Linked DNA regions of Neurospora crassa OR74A. The protein of the gene in region 1 purifies or fractionates together with the protein of each later gene. This does not show direct contact. Links are inferred from orthologs where the notes say so. Each region holds a gene or a part of one and is shown on either strand. Other genes may lie near its edges. The genes, in order: NCU04640 and NCU04344.

Region 1 (4,376 bases):
GTGGTGGTGAGAAGAAGGGTGGGGGATGTGCTGGTCGACTCCTCTGGGGCCGGTTTAGCGGATGGTCATTTTGGCTTGTACCTGGTGGTTGTGATGATGAAGGGGAAGACTTGAGTGATGAGTGGAATCGAGCAGGTAAAGTAGTGATGAGTCACGTTACGCGTTGACTTGGAAAGTGTTGACTAATCTATCGAACAGACAGACGAGGTTGAACCGTTGAGTTGTTGCCTGCGGCCCATCGTCTTATATGGGTTTGTTGATGCAAAATGTGGAGGGGAAAGATTCTCCCGAAGCTAACTATCATGCATGTGCTCGGCATATCATGGATCGATCGCCAAAACATCGGAACGTAGTGTATACGCAATGTATACGCGTCAAGGTGAGATTTCGAACCTAAGCGGCCGCTTTTTCTCACCAATCGCGGAGTATCAAGGTTTATCATTTTACTCAACTGCCACTTTGAGTTTCGATAACATAATGTAGTTTATAAAGGTAGACTGAATGGCTATACATACTGCAAAGAACAGAGAATAATTCCTGTTCGCAAGATCTCAAAATCCATCGCTTCGTAATCCTGCGCTCAGTCAGCCTCTTCCTTGCTCTCCCAGTCTAGCTTGCTGACCATGGTCATGAATGACCTGAGAACCTCTGAATCCCACATCAGTCTAGATACAACCTCGCAGCCCTCATCCATATAAATCAGACAAGCTCAGGAAAAGAAGAAAGCCCTCCTCTTTATCAGACTCCCTATGCAAAGTAAGGATAAGTGTGCCACCATCATCAAAAACCAGAACTTTTTGTGTACCAATTCTTCATCAAGTATCGTCATATTAACCCGTACCCTACCGCGTAAGGAATTCACCTGATTTTGTAGCACAGACTCTCTCTTCCATCCTCTCTCTCGTGTACTGGAGATGAGAGATTGCCGTTCAGAGGGGCCGTGCTACTTCGTAAAAGACCCGTGCCCAACCAGCCATATACAATGCCGTCTTAACTCCGTCCTTGAAGCGTGAAAACATTGAAAAGCAAACTGCAAGGGCCTCGAAACAAGAAAACAAAAACCGCTTAACCCTGCATCTTCTTTCTCTTGCCGACCTGGGCAGAGAAACCGGTCTTAATGGCCTGGACAGACCGCCTAGAACCGCAAGAGTTGCAGGTAATGAAACTGTGACATGTCAGCATTTTGGGGCTATGGTCGTCGTAAACAGAGGCCAACTTACTAAAGACGGTTCTCGCCCTTGGAGAGCTCGGTGTTGGGGGAACGGCACGTCTTGCAGGTAACGTACTCTGTTGAGCATGTTAGCATTTGTAGTCAGAGCAAAACGTTGGGTGCTGGTGGTGACATTGTCTACTTGGGCGCAAAACGTCCAAACGACGACAGGATCAAATAGACATACCGATAATGTAGGTACGCAGAACGTTCTCGATCTGCTTCTGCTGGAAACGACCCTTGATGACCAGACGCCTGCTGCCGTCGACGGAACCGCTGGTACCCAATTCGGCGAAAAGGTAAGAAGTAACGTGCTCGTCGGCTCTCTTCATGCGCTTGCAAATCTCGGGCAGGTTGGCGAAGATGGTCTTCTTGTTGCCTTCACGGAGACACTGCGGGGGCGGGATCTTGTACGACCGTGTACCGGTAGAGGCGTGGTCGGGGTTCTTTTGCGAGAGAAGGGCGAAGAAACGGGACAGAAGAGCGTTGTAGCTGATGGGCTTGGTCTCGTCGTGGGCCCAAATGCCGGTGCCCTGGTCCATATCGCCCTCCTGCTCGTCCTCCTGGGGGGCGGCCTCCTCGCCCTCCTTGCCCTCAATGTTGAGAGCCTCCAGCTTCTTGGCGAACTCATCATCCTCCTTGACGACCTTCTTCTTCTTCTTTTTCTTCATGGTGAGGTCGATAGCACCGTCACCCTCGGCAGGGGCGGCCTCATCAGCAGCGGCGTCGGCATCGTCCTCCTTCTTGACCTTCTTCTTCTTCTTCTTCATGAGCGAAAGGTCGAGGCCATCATCGGCGGCGGGGGCGGCAGCAGCAGCAGCATCCTGGGGCTCGGTGGCTTGGGGGGCATCAGTAAAGGCCCCGAGAGCGGCGTGGAGGGGCGGCGTACGAGCAGAGTGGGACTGGGCAGTCTCCTTGATTTCGTCGGCGGGAGAGGCGTCCATGGTGACAGAACCGTCGGGGTTGACAACTAGCTTCTCGTCGGTAAAGGTGACAGACTTGCGCGAGGGGCGTCTTTTGATAGAGGGCGCCTAAAGGGTTAGTATATCGGAGTGGATAAGGCGCTTGTCGTGGGAGTCGCGATAGCGGTCAAGGATTTCGCCGTCGAGTGTGGATAGGAAAGCTCGGAATTTTTTGGGATGATTGGCGGCGTTTTCGCGCTGCAGAGTGCCAGAACTTTATGGTGGATTTTGGGCTGGGGGTGGAGGGAGAGGGTTGGCGCCTTGGAGGGGCAGTACACGTCAGGGGACTTGAGGGCTGGGGCCGGGGATAGGTATAATTGCACTGCGTAGGTAGCAAAGTACAGTGAGGGGTGTGCAGTGTGGTGAATGGGACTTTTTATTTCCTTAGTATTTTTGACTAGGCGAGAAGCGTGGCTCCCCCCAGGGCTCGAGGTGTCTGCCTCTAGCGTGGTGGTAGGGTCGGGGAGGACGGAGGGTGTGTTGTGTGGGCGTAGAGGTAGTGAGTGTGTACTGAAGCAAGGAGATCCATCCCAGGTACTTACTTCAGAATCCATGCTGGGCCACTGGTGTGTTTGAGAGTGTGGTGGTGTCTGTCTGTCTGTCTGTAGGTGTGTGATTGTCCGTCTTTTTCTTTGTAATCGATGTCTCTTCCGGTGGACTCTTTGTTGGTCGCAGAGAGTGGATTTTGTCGATGGATGAGATTAGGTAGACTTTGGGGTCGGGAGAGGTATCGATGCAGGCAGACTGATCTCAGCTTTCTTTCAGTTTCGGACCTGGAATTGTTCTTTGCGGGGACCTAGGTAGTTGGATGCCGCTTGGGTCCTGGTCTGGTTACCTACTACTACTGTCGTTTAGTTCTGTCGTTGGGCTGGAGACTGAGCGGAGTTCTTTCTGTACACACGGCTCTGGATGGGGCACCGGCACCACGCCTCAGCTGTGTTCACCTCATGACGTTGATTGAAGCGAAACTGTGAGTCAGTCTTCTCAATCACCTGACAAGTGGGGTGGGAAGAGCTCAGACAGCTGCCCGCCACTTGCAACTACAAATCGCCTCCGCTTCTCCATTTTCCAGGCCATGCAGCCCTCCTCCCTGCAGCACGGTGCCTTCAACCCGCTCGAGCCACGGCCGCACAGTCCGACACGGTTGGGTTGGCACTGGCACTTGCAGTCCGGTGCAGTGCTTGGCGGCAGCGATAGGTGAGTGGTGTCCATTCCAGCATCGCATAGCTGCACTGCTGCAGCAGTTGGTGCCGTGGCCCGTCATCGGTCACCGACAACAACCAGCTCCATCACGAACCTTGGAAGGCGCGCCGAGTCCGTAGAGGTATCCATCTCCGTGTATCGCTGTGTTCGTAACCGACAACGAATCTCCCAGCAGCAATCAAGTTCGTCCCACGCGATTTCTACAATATCCTACACGTCAGGCGTTACGCCGATTCGTACAGTGTCTCCATCCCGAACTATCGCAATTTGCCCGAGCTACGATAGCTACTTACAGTACCATCTTCACCGCGACAACCGACCGTGCGCCGGCGCCGACCACTTGCTCGCCTCATCCAAACCACACTGACGATAGCTACCTACTCCCGGCCAGAGACGCGATACCCTCAGACAGACAAATTGCGCATTCGGGACATCCAAAACCATGTCCACCCCCTCCGATTCCTACGTCCTCCACGACCACTCCCCGTCAACCGACAACGACGATGTCGACTCCCTCCCGTCCATCTCCAGCAGTATCCTAGGCTCGGACGACTCCGAGTACGACGACGAATCAGACGCACAAAAGGAATGGGAACAGAGTCTCGAGCAGCTGCAGCTTCTCTTGAACTTGGTGCTAATACCGTTCGCGGGCAAGTTTTTGGGGCGCAAGTTTGCTTATTGGAGTAAGACAAACCAAAACCAGATCTTGGGAAAGACAGCTTGCGCTGTGGGAGGAGACAATAACGACGATGCGGAAAGTCAGTTGCTAACATGGCCCGGCAGGTTGGGGACGGTACATGGAGTGGGCGCACGGGGTCAAGGTCCAATGGTATAACAAGACGCTATTCAACATTGCCGGTTGGATAGGAGCTGCTACGCCAGTATCAGTATGAGGGAGGCAGACAGGCGACCGTGGTGATGAGGTACTCGAGTCAAAGGCGACGGCAGCACAATTCTCGATACCCTATTTTTTCGGTATAATCTGGGATACCAGGGGTGGA
Region 2 (3,959 bases), on another chromosome or scaffold:
TTGCCGTTCCGGTTTCCTTCATTTTCCTTCCTGACTTTATTCCCTATTCAAACATGCCGTTCGGTCCATCATCGAACCCTAACTCCTGCGCAGATGGTTGTCTCCTGTGCGCAGCACGTCCACTGCTAGGCGGAGGCGGCAAGAAAGGCATTCCTAACCCGCCGCCACCTCCAGTCGACGATGGAGGAGGAGGGAGCGAAAAGGCCGACAAAGGAGGCTGTGAATTGCTGTCCAGGTCCGTCGACAAGGGGCGATCCTGCCTTGCTCTCCTCCCAAACTTGGTCCCGCTCAAGTTCACCGTGATCGTTTCGCCCTCCTTCAAGCTATAATCCTTCTTCTCCTCGGCCTCCTGTTTCTTGCTTGACTTGATCAGGGGCGCCACGCCCTCGATGAGGCCCAGCGACTTTTGCGCCTCCTGCAGGGCCACGCCAAAGTCGAAAGACTCGCTGCGCTCCTCGAAGCCGACGCCGAGCATGGCCTTCTTGCCGGTGGTGGGATCCTGCACGCGCAGGGCAAAGAAGCGGCTGCTGTCGATGGTGGCCTCGACGACGGCCTGGGTGGTGTAGGGGGCGGCGGCGATCAGGTCGTTTGTGGCAGGGTCCTCGAGCACAATGTCGACCTTGACCGTGTCCTTCTCTCCAATCTGCTCGGGCGTCTGCGGCGGGATCGAGGTCTCGATGATGCGCACGCGGCCGGTGAAGATGTGCGCCTTGGGGTCGGCGGTCCAGTCGGCGGCCATGTGGCCCTTGGTCGAGCGCATAGGGGGGATCTGGTAGATGTGGACCGAGGAGGAGGTGATGTGGAGGATGCGCTGGATGGCATCGGCCGGGAGGGGGGCCTGCGTGGCCGGGTCTATGAGGGTCGTCATGATGTGTGTTGTGTTATGGTGGTGGTGGTGGTGGTCACGGTCGTAATGGTGTTTCTGTCCTTGTGATTTGCTTGCTAGCGTACCTAGTCCCTATGTCGGCAACTTATAGTCGACGCTCAACAGGAAGCCAGGGGGGGAAGAAGAAGAAGAAGAAGAAGAGACTGAAGCCAACATCGCCAACCAACGGGTCCATACACCTAGGTAGTTTCAAATGCCCGATGAAGAAAGAGACAATGACGGTAAAGGGTCCTCCGCTACTGTAGAAACCCCTAAGTTAGCTTCACATTCCCCTTGCTGCCCCTGTTCCATGGAAGCGGACGGCGGGGCGGAAGCCACAGGAAGTACCTAACAGTGGTAGCAGCGCAGATGCCAGGGGCAGCCTGGAGTAGAAAGGATCCACGCAGCCCCAGGGGGGACCCTCAGTGTTTCGACCCTGTAAAGAGCCCCCGAAAGGTCCGTGAGGTGACTGGTGGGCGGCGGTGACAAGCCGCAACACCTGGCATGGAAATCACCCAGGGCAGCAACAACCCCGCTAGGTAGTAGTGTACACTAGCAGCTGCCGATAGCGGGGCACATACCTAGCGGGCATGAAATGGAAACAAAGAATGGCCGGAGAGCTTCGTTGACGTGCAGTAGGTACACTCAGTAGTAGGTACGCATTGAGGACGGTGAGTGGCGGCAGAATACTTCAAAGGGCCGCCCGCACTTGGGAATTTGGGATGAAGAAGGTTACATGTACAGCTAGTAGAGGTAGGTACGCATCTTGAGTCACACTTTCAGATCAGACCAGACGCACGCTTCTTCAGAAAACGCTGCATTTTATCGACTCTGCATACCACAAACCAGATCATTGTCGCAATACATAAACCTGTACGATTTGACAAAGCCAAAACCTGCCTGCCTGCTCCAAGTCTCCCAAGTGACTAAAACACCCCGAACCCTCCCCACTTGGATCGACCGCCGCAACAGTGCTTCCTCCCGGGAGGACTTGTATGTTTTGGCAACGAAAACCACTTCCCACACCTTCACAATATCAACACACTTTGTCGTCTTCTCCAACAACCCCCATAGAAACATGGCCACCGACGACCTATCCAACAAGCCGCTCGCGGTACGGACGACATCGTCCACCTCCACTGATGGCGCCTCGTTCGAGTGAGTTTGCTTTGGCGTAATTACCACACGCGTCATAACCAAACCGCGCTGAACCCTTTCGTCGCATTGCTTGCCTCTGACCAAGACAAACAAACAGCATCGTCAAAACCTACCGCGACCTCCTCACCTCCGACCCCGACATGACTATGCCCGTAGCAGCCATCGAATCGCTCATCGAGCTCTTGCGCGTCACCCCTTCCTCAACAGCCATGGAAACCGTCGAGGTCGTCAAGACCCAAAAGGCCCTCCTCCTCGACTCGGCCCCGAACCCTCTCCCTCTGCTAGCCGGCGCCGACCTCTTCGAGCAGTACCTTCTCCGGTCGCTTAGAGGGCAGACCGCCGAGTCCTTCGACGAGACGAAGCGCCACCTGCTCAACAACCGCCAGCTCTTTGCCGCCCGCGCCAAGGCCGCCCGCGACAACATTGCCGTCATCGGTTCCCGCTACATGTCGCACCGCAAGATCGTCCTGGCCGCCGGCGGTTCGCGGGTGGTGACCAAGATCCTGGTGCACGCCGCCACGACCCGGACCAACACGCACTTCAAGGTCATTTACGTCATGGACGGCAGTCCGCACTGCGACGCCAGCGTCTCGGCCCTGCGCGACGCCGGCCTGGAGGTGGAGACCATCTCGACCTCCAAGGTGGCCTACGTCCTCAAGGACCAAAAGGACATCAACATCGTCCTCGTCGGCAGCGAGGTCGTCATGCAAAACGGCGGCATCATCTCGCGCATGGGCACTTCGCAGCTTGCTCTGCTCACGCGCTTCGCGGGCGGCTCGCAGAAGCGCTTCTTGGTTGCTGCGGAAAGTCACAAGATTGTGCGCAAGACGCCCCTCTGGCACCCACAGGTGTTGAGGGTCGGCGTCAAGCAGAAGGATATCAGCAAGTTTGACAACGTGGGCGTTGACCCTGTAGGCCAAGAGGCGAGGGATTGGGTGGCGGATCGCGATGAGGTGGATTATACCGATCCGGAGCTGATTGATGGCATTGTGACGGAGCAGGGAGTGAAGCAGCCGAGTCAGATTTGGGAGTTGGTTGATTATGAGAAGTGAGGGGGGTCTTGCTGCCCGATACTGAAGGTGAAAGGTGTTGAAAAGCGTGGGTAACAAAAGGGCGGTTTTATGAATGGATGGATGGATGGATGGAACTGCTTGATCATTTTCAAGTTATCGGTGTGGTTACTGTGGTAAATATCCTTGCAGCATTATTAGGCGTTTTTAACGGGAAATGGGATAGGTACCTGATATCCTTTGGAGGTTTGGTTGATGAAAGAGTCTCTTTTCTCACTTGCTTGGCCTGTGAAGGAAAACAAAGTACGTGCTAAAGTTAAACCAGGGATGCCTGATCGAGTGGAGTGACATATGAAACCACCCCATTCATATACATGTAGTTGACCGAAATTTCATAACCAAGAAAAAGATACCCATCTGAGTACTAACCAAGACTGCGCTATTCACGTCGTCTTCACTTTCCAACCAGCCATAGTCCACCACCCATTACACATACAAACACAACGACTCACAAATCCCTAACAACTCTCGCCCCCACCCAAGCATAAGGATAATTCCTCTGGTACCAATTCACAAAGCTCTTCCTCCCCGCAATCCTCGGATGCGTAGCCCAGCTCCCTCCCAGCACAATGTTGTGCTTCTCATCGAAAAAATCCGCCGTATAGCCGGGGTACAGCTCCATCGGCTCGAACCCCTCCCACTTGCGGAGGACCGATGAAGTCCATTCCCACACGCCGCCGAGCTCGCCTTGCCCGACAAGGGTGTTGCCTTTGGAGGTGATGGGCATAGGGTGCCAGTTGTGAAAACCGACATTGGCACCGTCTAGGTCAGAGAAGAGGTCTTCGGTGGTGATGAGGGTGGTGTTGCTGTCGGAGGGGGAGGAAGACTCGGCGGGGGTCTCGGAAGAGGGAGAGGATGGGGGAGTG

The links.
Region 2: the proteins of NCU04640 (region 1) and NCU04344 purify together in Saccharomyces cerevisiae (affinity purification with mass spectrometry; 4 studies listed by BioGRID, with this or other methods). This does not show direct contact. The link is inferred for Neurospora crassa OR74A from reciprocal best matches to the Saccharomyces cerevisiae genes SUI3 and GCN3.

Annotation. Positions count from the first base shown.
Region 1 is NC_026505.1:1,363,666-1,368,041, forward strand, and holds NCU04640 (eukaryotic translation initiation factor 2 beta subunit), read right to left. Parts: upstream 3,093-4,376; 5' UTR 2,727-3,092; coding exon 2,715-2,726; exon of another isoform or gene 2,242-2,714; coding exon 2,100-2,241; intron 2,049-2,099; coding exon 1,398-2,048; intron 1,288-1,397; coding exon 1,221-1,287; intron 1,166-1,220; coding exon 1,066-1,165; 3' UTR 419-1,065; downstream 1-418. Other genes in the region: NCU16952 (hypothetical protein), read left to right, coding at 3,818-4,058, 4,159-4,268. UniProt on the Saccharomyces cerevisiae protein: Component of the eIF2 complex that functions in the early steps of protein synthesis by forming a ternary complex with GTP and initiator tRNA.
Region 2 is NC_026504.1:3,703,899-3,707,857, forward strand, and holds NCU04344 (translation initiation factor eIF-2B alpha subunit), read left to right. Parts: upstream 1-1,625; 5' UTR 1,626-1,943; coding exon 1,944-2,023; intron 2,024-2,120; coding exon 2,121-3,075; 3' UTR 3,076-3,455; downstream 3,456-3,959. Other genes in the region: NCU04345 (adaptin ear-binding coat-associated protein 2), read right to left, coding at 44-868; egt-1 (DUF323 domain-containing protein), read right to left, coding at 3,542-3,959. UniProt on the Saccharomyces cerevisiae protein: Acts as a component of the translation initiation factor 2B (eIF2B) complex, which catalyzes the exchange of GDP for GTP on the eukaryotic initiation factor 2 (eIF2) complex gamma subunit.